Linked DNA regions of Oryzias latipes. The protein of the gene in region 3 purifies or fractionates together with the protein of the main gene of each other region. This does not show direct contact. Links are inferred from orthologs where the notes say so. Each region holds a gene or a part of one and is shown on either strand. Other genes may lie near its edges. The genes, in order: cyth2, cep170 and c7h1orf106.

Region 1 (4,261 bases), on a different chromosome or scaffold from region 3:
TCAGCATGTGCCATCGGATCTGTCAGTAAATAATGTGCCAACTGCTTGAATCATAATCAGCATACCACGCTGGGCCAAATCTTTATAGTAAGTCTTTAAATTGATGAATTTTTGAAATGTAAGTTCCTAGGTACCCTTTAGATAATGGAAACTGCAATATGTGTATTTTGCATTAGGTCTTAATGGGTTCAACTTCATTTCTGACATTGAGTCAAATTTTTGACACGTTTATTGCTTCACATTGCAGCTAGAACACTATACTAACCTTGTGCTTACATAGCTACATAATGTAAGTGCAGCATGTCAGGTTGTTCTTGTGAATTTGAATTATGTGAGAATCTGCACACACTTTAATTCTAAAATCTGCCAAACCTTTTTTAGTTCACATTGAAAGTCCGGCTATGAAAGCTTACTTTTCTAATCCTGTTGTTGTTTAGAGCCAGAATGGGGTTATAGTGTTAAACATACGTTTGGTCTGATTCCTTCCTTGACAATGCCAGTAAGATGTCTATAGTTTGCTGCTTGTAAAGAAATTGTAATTATTACTAAGCCAATGAAATCATATTAGAATGTACAGTTTTTAGCTCTGTTTTCAAATAAATGTAGCTCATCAATTTGTCTTTTTTTTGTCACACTTTGTCAATAAAATATGCAAGCCTTATAAGTGTGCATCACTTTGCCCTTCCTTAATTTGAACAGTTTACTTTTAAAGCATCTTTCATAGCCTCTTAGTTTGGAAAACAATCTGATCTAAACTCAATAGGTTTATGACTTTGACATGGACTCACTTGTGGACTCATAAGGTCCAAAGGACTTCATTTTGCGTTCCAGAGCCAACAGATGGTAGGCAGACTTTTACAGAGCTTTATCAGAAAGTTAGTAATTGACGTTCACACAGATTTTACAATTTACTCGTGAATCAAATTTTAAACACATTCAGTAATTGAATGTGGTATTTACCATTCTTCTACAATGTTCTAAAAATTGTTTACCTTATTTCAATTTTTGGAAAATACAGATTATGGCTTCAATGTATAAACTCCACAAATCAGTGTTTTTAAATGTTTCATTTATTTTAATTGATTTTTTTTGTATATTATCACAAGGCTTTTTTAAATTAAACCTGGCTTTTATTTACTAAGTCATACTTTTAATAAGGAATATTTACATCTCGACATAATATTTCTATTTTATTACGTATACTCATTCTGACCGTGTAAACAAAGCCGATAAACATGTTGCTGTCATTCTCCTTACACAGTCAAATCCAGAGATCATTATTTTGAAAAACATCTGACCGGAAGTACATCTCTACAAACTCAGTTACCACTTCCGGCGTTACCACCTTCTTTGTCTACGGCCCAGGATTTCGCTACCAGTGGTTGTTCAGTTTTCCTTTGATTTGAGAATATATTACTTTATACATCCCAATTTTTTTTACATTTATGACACTCGACTCTGATTTATTTATGCCTAAAAGTAAAGCGCCAAAAATGGATGACCTGGACTACAGTAAGTGGGGTTACTTTCGTTTTTTTGCCCATAATATCGTAGCTAAACGTAGCTAGTTGTAAAATATACATGAAGATAAACACGGCTTTACATATTTCCTTAAATCAAAGGAGTGAATTGTTTTATATAATCACGTAAACAACAAAACAAAGCACTGAATGAAATAAACAGCTACCTAAGACACAGTCAGTGTGTGTCGTTGATTGCCTCGTCGTGCTAGTTTAATAAAATTGACGTCGCAGATCTAAACTTGCCACTGAGTCGGGCTTTTAATGTGCATACAACAATATTTATTAAATGTATAGGCTTTTCTTCTAAAATGTAAACCTTATTTACACCAGGCTGTGGGCGTGGTTGGTGGTTCAAATAAATTATTTGTGAGACAGCTTCACGCTGCAGAAGATTGTGGATCATCTTTTTTGTAAACAACTTTATTGCAAATGAAAATGTTGACAACAAAGGTTTGTGGAAACAACTGGGTTTTATATTGAGATTCTTAGTTGGCTACAGAATTTTACCCGTAAAGAACAAGGTCAAGCTATTGTGACTTATTTCTATTAAACCTTTTCAACGCACAAATTACAATACCACCTTTATCATTCAGATGTTTTTGCACAGGTCTTTACTTGGGCCAGAGTGATGTGCAGTGGTTTTTGGTCATATTTACCCGGCAACCTCAGTAAAAAATTTCCTTATTTGCTTGGACTATTTAGTCAACAATTGAATGAATGGAAAACTTTTCCTTGAGTGGCATCATTGTGTGTCAAAATCCATCCATTAATGTCTGCCCCCCTCCCCCCATGGTCTTTTTTAAAATGTTTTTTTTTTTTATAATATCCCCCAGCTGATATTTCAGTTTCAATCAAGTCCCTTTTGTCTTACCACCACTTGAGCCGGTTGACCCAGATTGGTTAGGCATAGTTTAACCATTTATGATGTCCAGCTGCAGTAGTGGTGCGATCATTCTTCTCTTCCCCTGCAGTCCCAGTAGACTTGAGCCCAGAGGAGCGCTCTGAGCTGGAGGACATCCGCAGGAGGAAGGGCATCCTGCTGCAAGAGATCCAGAGGCTCAGGGAAGAATTAAGAGAAGCAATCTTAGAAGTAGAAGGTCTGGAGACTAGCACAGAGGGCAGGTAAACCAAAAAAGAGAAACCTGTGTTCTGCTGATGCATAATTATTTCTAGTGCTTATTGTCCATAAGTTGAAAGCTCATCTTTAATTCTAATTTGACTGGTGTTCTTGTTCCATATGACCCATTTCACCAGTTTATCTTAAACTACTGTATTATTTATCTGGCTTCACAGAGTCACATACCTTATTCTATCTTATACTTAAAGAACAATTCATGTAACTTTTGTCTTGATCAATTTGTTTTGTATTTAAAAGAAGAAAAAAGGAAGCAATACTTTCATAATTGCAACAATATTAACCTTTTTATTGTGTGCATACATAACACATGTAGTTCCAGGCATCCAAAGCAATGAAACTTTAGAACCATATAATTATAATTTACCGTATTTTCCGGACTATAAGTCGCCCTTTTTTTCATAGTTTGGCAAGGGGTGCGACTTATATTCTGCAGCGATTTATATTAGAAATAAATTGAAATAAATACATTGTTAACCCTCCTGTTATGTTCATTTGTGAGGAACAGAGATGATGTTCCTGGGTCAATTTGATGTATGAGGTATGTTAGGTGTTAAGAGTATGTTAAGTGACTTAGAGAATCAGCAAACCTTTTTTTACAGTAAGATCTTGAAGGCTAACAACATAATATTCTATTTTCCAATGATTTCATAGATTCAGAAATGCAATAAAAATGACAACGGTTTCTACAAATACAGGATGAAAACAGAGTATTAGTGTGCCAATGATGCTTCATGAAAGGAATAAATAAATAAGTATGAGAAAGAATTACGGTGAAATTATGAGATAAACAGTCTGCTATGATTGTGTCATATGAGGTTTTGCAAGTTATTAGTTCTTGGTCTCAGATAGGCCTGCACAATATACCGCAAATTTATCGTTATCGCGACATCAAGCTTTGCAATATGCATACCGCAAAAGACGGCGAAAATCGCAATAAATGGTTACCTTGACCCTTGTGCTATCCTAGGCACTTTAACATTGGGAGTTGGGTCATCTAGACCCATTAGACAGTGCACTGAACCTTTTTTCTTCAATTATTTGTGATCTTCACTGGTGTCTATGGATTACATGAAATCTTTCCACCTTTATCCACCTTTGTCATGCTAGGAATAACACATCAAAGTAAGGGGGGGGGGGGTCATCTAAGATAGCACAAGGGTTAAATGTGCTAAAACAAACTCATGGCCGCTTGAAATATTGAAAGATGAAATAAATACCTTAATGCATTTAACCAATCGGAAGGACCCGTTTACGCTGTTGATCAATCAAATGAGCCCTTTTATTTTTGATGTTTGCCTCCTATGTCGACGAGGGTCATTTGGAGTATAATTTTTAAACTGTTGCATTGAAATGGAAATGATGTTTTTGGTTGGTTTGATATTTGTTTATATACCGCAAATTATATCGTTATCGCAATATTAATCACCAATATCGCATATCGCGAGTTTTCCTCATATCGTGCAGCCCTAGCCTCAGATTTTGTCAAATAAATTTCCCGTCAAAATGGGACTTATAGTCCAGTGCGTCTTATCTGTTTTTTTCCTACTTTATAATGCATTTTTGGGCTGGTGCGACTTATACTCCGGTGCGACTTATAGTC
Region 2 (3,651 bases), on a different chromosome or scaffold from region 3:
TTGACCACAGCCCCTCTACTCTATCCCGCTGAATGTATTGCCTCTGCTCTGTAATGTATTGCCTGCAGTGAACTGCTGCATCCAGCGCTGTTCTTGCTTATTAAAATAACACCCTAGGGGGGCTAAAAAAAACCTGCAGCCTCACCTCTTGGTGCAGAGCTCTTTAGTGGTCAAAGAAAGCATCTGAAAGAGGCAAAATGTGGTTCAGTCAGTATAAGATCAAAAAAGGAAAGCAAAGACAAACTGCTAGTTGTTTTAACCACAGTTTAAATAAAGTAGGTAAAATAACAGCATAATCTCTTGAAATAGCAACAGCTAGCTGTTGAGTGAAATTGTCACCTGCAGACTCAGATGTTTAAACTCAAAGCCGTATTCACTAAACGGCATCTTCGGGGCCTGTGAGCTTGAATTGCTGTTTTTTTATGTCGATGCTAGCTTGTGACCAGCAGTGACATAATTAGAGGAGTATATATCCATTCAGTCTGCCTGAGTCCATTATGTTCTTAGCTGGGAGCATTGCCATTTTAATTCCTGTAATTAGCTGACATGTTAATTGGTAAGCTGCCCACAGCTGTCTGCTCTCTTTTCTCCCCACGTTTTCGTGAAACGCTTGTGTGATTTTGGTTTGTTCGTGTGTCATTTGATCCTTTAGTAGAGACCAGCATTAGTCATTTTTTGTAGCCAAATATACATTCGTGTTAACCTTCCGAACAGTAATAAGTGATTACGTGCTTTTAAAATTTGGTTCACGTGTATGGATGGATATTTCTGCAACCACGTTGCACACAAAACTTTCTAAGTTGCAAATAAAAATACTAAATATTTGCTTTTTCAATTATTTTTATTTTGCTTTCAATTTTTTTTTTTTGCTTTCAAAAACTTTTTTCTTCAGCTCTTTTTATCCTCGATTTTGTCTCTTTGGATGAAGACTTTTTCTTTTTCTTTTTTTTTTTACCATTTTAACAATAATTTATACTTTCTTTTTTAGCATTAATTAATTTTTACTAAGTCAGATTTTTGAATTTATGGCTGAGGATCTCCTGAAACTTTAAAGTTTATCTGCTGACATTAAATCAATGGGCCTGTATGTGATCTGTCAAAGTAGTTGTTAAAAGTGTGATTTTCTTTAAGATCTGTTTGTTAAAGCAAAACAATAAAAGATATAAAGCACATATTATTTTATGCTGCACAAGTGTTTGGGATTAGATGAACAGCAATAAGCAAAATAATGATGGCTCACCACAGTGGACTCAATGTATTTAGCAGAAGAAGCATTTTTGAATTATATGTCAATTTTTACTGTGTCTTGTGTTTTAGAACTCGTAAGCGTTTGTCCAAATTGAAAAAAATTACTCGTGGAAAAATGCTATTTTCTCTTAATATTTCAACATTTATTGATTAAAATAAAACAATAGTTCTGACACAAATTATAAATGTTACTTCCTGCTGGACGGACCGAGTCGGAGCTCTGACATTTTTTTTCTGCTGCAGATATTTATACACGTTGGTCACTACACTGACATAAATAAATACAAAACTTGGTTTGATTTTAGCTGCTTTGCTGCTCTTTCTGGGTTTTACTCTGAGAGAAATGGGCCATAAGGATTGAAAACGGCAGAATCCTGTTAGAACAAAACCGACACAAAGTCCACGTCTGCCTCCAAGCACCGTCAATATGTTTTTGATGCCATTTCCCTCAACCTCGCCTATCTTTATAAAGGAACTCCTACTCCGTCTGCTCCCCAACCACAGCTTCACGTGACGGACACTGTTGTCGGAAAAAAAAAAAAAACTCTGCTTCTCTGCTTTGACAAATCAAAACAAAGCCATCCGAAGACTGTTCCAGCAGGAGCTAAAAACGGAATCCCCGGCCATAACTTTCTGGACTTTACTTCATGGTCAAATGTGTTGAGAAAAGGTTTGGCTTCTGCCAAACAAATATCTTATAAACAACAAAGTGCAAGAGGTTTCATTCAAGATCATTCATAGGTTTTATCCAACAAATCAGTATATGCAAATGCTAAAAAAGGGATATTAATAAAAACTCTTCTTTCTGTTCTCAGTTTGAGGAAACATTGGTGCATTTCTTTTGGACCTGCAAGTACACTGAAAAAATCTGGGATCTTATGTTTTCTTATCTTATTTGGTTACGTTAATTATATTAATACATTTTTATCTCAATTTTATTTAATAAATCTTCTGATTTTATTAACCAAGTATTATATATTTACAAATCTAAATTCAGCAATAAAGCTCCTAATTTTCTTGATTTACTAGCCCAAATTAGATGTTACTTACATTCCATTTCCCCCAGTACAAACAAAAAAGCAATTAAAACGTATCACCTTGCTCAGCTTTATAATTTAATATAAGTTTATTTTCTTGCTTGTATATCCCTTGGCGTTTACTTTGAACATTTGATGTACAGTTTATTGTTCCTTGTTCTTTTGCTGTATGTCACCTTTGTTCTGAACCAATTAAAAAAAAAAAGCACCGTCAATATGAGACAGAGACACCTGATTGGTTAGAATCTGGACCAATTAGCAGCTGTTTGATGGCAGCTTTGTCATGTCAAACTGAAACTTAACTCAGCAAAATCAAAGATGCGAAAAAAAGGGAGATTTGACACAACGCATGCGAAAACATGTGTTTTGCAAACGCAAAAAAAGTTTTTGAATGCAAAAAAAGTTTTTGAATGCAAAAAAAATTTTGAAAGCAAAAAAAAAAAATGAAAGCAGAATAACAAATTATTTAAAGCAAATATTTAATAGTTTCATTTGCAACTTAGAAAGTTTTGTGTGCTACGTAGTGGCAGAAATATCACTCCATACACATGTTGCATGTGCAAGTTATACATGTTTTATTACCTTTTTTTTATTTGATCTTAATTTATCTTCATCTTGCAGGTGTTTGGGGTCCAGGATAATACGGAAAACTCTCTTTTATCCGACCTGAAAAGAACAGGGAAAGAAAAGGAGAGTGGAGTACCTGGAAAAGAGGTAGACTCTTTGTATTATTCATTGAATGTCCTCTTTATTTGCTACATTCATAGTAGATCTACAAAAACCTTTGTAGATGTGAACGACCGCATTTTAGGAGTAGAACACTCCTGGCTGAGGTTTATACCGTGACTCACAATCACTCCTGTGACTTCCCGTGCTAGTTTATGGGAGGAGGCCAAGTCTTCTGAGTCTGACCTAGATCATACTAAAATGAGGAAGACTTACTCAGCCCTCCAGGCTATTTCATAAGAGGAGGGGTCAGTGTGCTGAGACAGTGTCTGCTCTGTCCATCCTTTAAGCCCTTTAAGTACGGTACATGGTTTTTGTGTATATGTAACGTTCAGAGTCGTTAATATCTGGGAACCAAATCAGAGCAAGAGGGCCGTTAAAATCCCTGCCACATGATATTGAATTTTAAGTGATTCATTGATGCAGATTTGTACAAGATTACTTGTTTTTTCCTTTTGAGTTTTGGATTTAGAATTTTTAGCAGTAAATTCTCATGATGTGTTCAGTGGTTCCTTTATCGATCTTCATCACTCTCTGTTAGGCTCTTACCGGTGACTCTAGCTGGGTGTCTCAGTGGGCCAGTGTAGCCGCCAGTCATACCAGGATGGACCCAGAAGGTTCTGGAGCAGAGGCAGCAAAT
Region 3 (4,446 bases):
AGACTGATGTGGCCTCTCTTTTCTCAGTATGAGCAGGAGGAGATCAGACAACGGGAGAACCAGCAGAAGATCCCAGAGTTTGTCCGTGTCAGGGACAATCTGAGGCGCACGCAGACGTTTGATCAGCCGTGAAGCGTTCCATCTGTGTGTGCATACTCTCACCATAGTGGCCCTAAATATTTATGTTGAATGCCTACTACAAGACACATTAACAAAGAACAACTCTTTTTTTTATTATGGGTGTATGCATGCATAAACCAAAATCACAAGTCTACTTTGAGCTGGATTCCTAAACTGTTTCTAGAGAGAAAAAGAAGTGCTCATTTTTTCTGGAGACAGGAAACAATGCTGTAAGGATGAATGTTTTTTTTAATTATTATTTTTATGGTTGCTGAATGATTGTAATCTTTTGCAAGTTTTGATTTGCCCTCTGGCATTCTTGGATTAAAAGACATTGTTACTGCTTATAAAAGGGCTGTAATCATCCAAGTCTGATTTTATTTCATGTGATTGCCAACAGAACTGTCTTTTATCAAACATAACCAACCGCATCTCCAAGTTTGTTGAGGTGATCTCTTGTAACCTTTTCATTTCAAGCATTTAAGTGTTGCTTTGAAAAAAAAAGACATGTTGGCTTTCACCAATGTCTTGTGCTGGACACAATTCAAAGCATTGGGGATTGATTTGCAGGCAAGTCCTCTCTCTGCGGACTCTCGCAGGTCTTTCACACGGATATGGGACTTTGTTTAATTAGCTAATCTTTTCATTCCATCACGGGTCGAAGAGAAAAAAGGACAGGCCATCTGGTGGAGCCTTTTCAGGAGGGCTAGGAATACCCAAAGGTCTGATTAAGGCACTGCAGACATTTTGGACAGTCACAGAACGCACTGGCTGAGGCTGGACTCTCAGTTTAAGTAATGTTTAGACTGTTCTATCACTTTCTCAATCAAAAAAGAGCATTCAAGAATTGGCATAAAAAGTATTTAAAAATTGCTCTTTGGAGGTAAATTTGTGAATTTATCATAAACCTTGAATATGATGTACAAAAAAAGCTTATGCATATATGTCCTGAAATGTTTAAGCTCAACCCATGAAAAGTGTATCATGTTTAACTCAACAGATGTGGAATTATAAAATAAATAAAAAAGTCTGCATGTTTTTTTCTTTTTTTCTGATAAGGTAATTTTGTTATTTTAAACACCTGGACGAAAAACAAATATAATAAATAGGAAATGACATGTTTGCTATGTACAAAAATCACACATTGTCATTCAAATAAAATATTCTATTATTTTTAAATATTGGCAAATGTTACAGTGTACTTTCACCAAACTTTTTGTGTAAGGGCTTTCCTGGATTATTTTATTTTATTTATTTTTTTGGCAGTGGATTCACAGAAAAACGAATGGTCGGGGTGATTGCATCTTGTATACATTTGCCATCTTAATTCTAATTCTAATTCTTTATTTTTCATTTTTTAAATAAAGTTGTGTCTGTTTTGCACCCTCCTCCCTCCCTTTGTGTATTTTTCCCCTCCTCAGCGAGTCGTGTGCTGTGTCAACAGACGCACAGCGTCTTTGAAAAGGCACAAGCGTCAGACGAAACCATTACCGAATGTGGGGGAGTCCGCCAGGAACAGCACCAAACAAGAACCGTTATCACAGGGACTCTAGGCTTGCAACCCTTGAATCAAATATAAAAGCTAAAAAGAGTAAAATAAATGTACTTAGATGTAGTTTTTTAAAGTTTTGTCTGTTCAGTGGGACTGTGTTTTTATTGAATCCACCCCTCTTCAAAGTGGAATTTTCTGAAACAGATGTCCCAGGCGCTCCGCTAACATCTGACCGGAGAAAGTCTGTTCAACTTCAGCGGCTTCAGAAATGATGCTGTAGAGGAGAAAGACACAAAGTAAAAGGTACGTAAAGACGGCTCTCTGGTGATTAACAGATTATTTAAAGGCAGCAATGGGAACGAATTAAAAGCAGAAACATTTGCCAATCGTTAAATTAAAGATGCTCTTGTCAGGGACTCAAGGAAATGGCACCGATTTTAGTTGAAAGTCATTTAAAATATTTTAAATTAATTTTTGCATATTTTTGCATAAATCTAAGGTATAAAATATGTCAAGGTCAACATGAATCAGTAGTTTTATGTACCAATGTACTTTATGTAAATGTTTTTGGCTGAATTAAATGTTGCACAGTGATGTATCCTGCGTGTAAATTTATTAAAAGTTAAATATAACATTTTCTTGTAAGGCTTAATTTCATTTTGATTCTACATTTACAGACAGATGAAGCATCCAGATGCTATACTGCTGTATATAATACTGCTGTTGTGAGATGGGTTTTAGTTTTGTCTAATCAGCTTCCTTAAAGTGAATTGTGTAGCTTTTACTTTTTGTGGGGCAATGGGGCAGTTGGTAGCTATTGTTGTTCCGGCACTACAATAAACACAATCTCACTGAATCCACGTGTAGAGGTGTGATGGGACGCTGTTGTGCAAATGGCAACACCTCTGTGTTTACCTGTTAAATTCTCTTGTGGAGAATAAAAAAAAGTGGTCTGAGATGATTTAGGAATCAACTATAAATTAGAGGGAGATTGCCTCGATCTTACATCTTTCATTTATGACAGAATGTTCACGCGTGTGTGGGTTATGTCTGCTGTATTTTATATTGTTTTTATACCATTTATTTTGATTTTATTGTTACTATTTGACTATTTTTGCACCTTAATCTTGTTGTAAAATGTTGCAATGACAATAAAGACTATCTATCTAGATATCTAGATCTATCTAGATCTAGATCTTTCCTCTTGTGTTGGGACAGTACTTAGCTTGACGCTTGATGAGATTTCACAGATGTCTCTGGAAGACTAAGGTTCTCTTAGTCAAATTGATCTGGATCAGTGCTGGCTGAGACAAGAGAAAGGGACCTTGGAGTGCTGCAGAGAATGCCTGTGCACATTAGCTTAGGAGTCTTCTCTTTATGTTTTGCTTTAGACTGTATCAGGATCCAGCACTTCATCCTAGGGAAATGAGCTTGTCCTAGTGACGCCCTTTGTAATCTAATACCTCTTTTTTTTCATCCCATCTCCTCCTGCTGCTGCTGCTCTGTGTCGATACACTTTTCTCTTCTGTTGCATTCAGAGAGGATCCTTTTTGCTGAATGGATTTTGGCTTTTCATCAGGCTCTTAAATAAGGCATGCTGTAAAGTCATTTGGGTTCTTCCATAGTATCAGCGTTCACATGAGAATCTTAATTACAGGGTTTGAGCAGGCAGCCTTCACTGTTTCTGGTCCCCATCGGTAATTCCAGGGCCAACCACAGTGGTAATGAGCACGGTGGTGGTGGCCGTAATCCAGGAGTACGCAACTCCAAGTGCTCATGGGAAAGGGTGGTGGTGGAAGTCTTGGAGACAGTAAAGCCACATCATGATCTCCTACCATAAACATCAACTTCCGCAGATGTTACGGATACACGGTCCAGTGAACTGTGAGGATGGGTGGTACGGTTAGATCTCCTTCATGTTTGTAGGTAATGGTGTTCACATGCTGCATCTGTCAGATCTGCTGGATGGAGACAGTCCTATTAGGGCTAGTTTTCCTCAGGACATGTTCTACTCTTCTTGTCACACTCAATCAAACAAAAACTCTTGTTTTCCTTAACAGAACAGAATTCCCTTGGACCCAGGTTCTAAGAAAACCCTTGAAAAATGGCATTCACATTTTTTGGCAAAACTCTGCAGCTCTAAATGAGCTTAACCCAAACCCACCCACTCACTCAGCCTAGATCTGCAACCACAGACTCTTGTGAAAGTCCTCAGACAGTTATGGGGTGTAAGTGGGTAAGTCCCACATTACCCTGCCTGTGTCTTGTTACCATCCTAGATTCCTGACGACGTTCTTAGAGTGCTGCAACATGGAGCCATGTGTCTGCAGGCAGGGAAGGCCACAGGCACACACATGCTCCTGTCTTCACCTCTCACCGTCTATCAACGCACAACAACGCGGCTAAAGCCTGAGCTGTCAGCACATACTGAGCACGCTGCAGTTACTGAGGTCACTTGTTGGATGTAGGGCCTTTGTTGCAGTGTTGTTTTACAGACTCGAGCTGTCTGCTTCATTGTGTTCCTGGCTGCTCATAGCTGAGTCAGTTCACATGAGTTACTGTGCTGAATAGGTCAGACCTATGGGATATGGAAAAACATGCTTTTAGAGAATGTTCTCATTCACATAGATGCTGGGTCTTCCTCATCCCAACAGGAAAAGGCCTGATATCAATCTCCAAGCACAGCAGTTGAGACAGGAGCAGAGGATTACACACTGAAGCTTTGATGACACATTGTTATTGTCTGATGTGATGTCTGTCTCAATGTGGTCCCCACACCCTTCTTATCTTGACTAGAAACACTTCCTTTCTGCTAACATGGGTTTTGTTTACTA

What was found.
Region 1: the proteins of c7h1orf106 (region 3) and cyth2 purify together in Homo sapiens (co-immunoprecipitation; 3 studies listed by BioGRID and IntAct, counting the BioPlex papers as one, with this or other methods). This does not show direct contact. The link is inferred for Oryzias latipes from reciprocal best matches to the Homo sapiens genes INAVA and CYTH2.
Region 2: the proteins of c7h1orf106 (region 3) and cep170 purify together in Homo sapiens (co-immunoprecipitation; 3 studies listed by BioGRID and IntAct, counting the BioPlex papers as one, with this or other methods). This does not show direct contact. The link is inferred for Oryzias latipes from reciprocal best matches to the Homo sapiens genes INAVA and CEP170.

What each region holds. Positions count from the first base shown.
Region 1 is NC_019874.2:19,306,320-19,310,580, forward strand, and holds the start of cyth2 (cytohesin-2), read left to right. Parts: upstream 1-1,322; 5' UTR 1,323-1,445; coding exon 1,446-1,512; intron 1,513-2,494; coding exon 2,495-2,645; intron 2,646-4,261. UniProt on the Homo sapiens protein: Acts as a guanine-nucleotide exchange factor (GEF). Promotes guanine-nucleotide exchange on ARF1, ARF3 and ARF6. Activates ARF factors through replacement of GDP with GTP.
Region 2 is NC_019873.2:16,496,668-16,500,318, reverse strand, and holds part of cep170 (centrosomal protein of 170 kDa), read left to right. Parts: intron 1-2,906; coding exon 2,907-2,999; intron 3,000-3,552; coding exon 3,553-3,651.
Region 3 is NC_019865.2:11,211,753-11,216,198, forward strand, and holds the start of c7h1orf106 (innate immunity activator protein), read left to right. Parts: upstream 1-1,601; 5' UTR 1,602-1,915; intron 1,916-4,446. Other genes in the region: protein FAM107B-like, read left to right, coding at 28-132. UniProt on the Homo sapiens protein: Expressed in peripheral macrophages and intestinal myeloid-derived cells, is required for optimal PRR (pattern recognition receptor)-induced signaling, cytokine secretion, and bacterial clearance.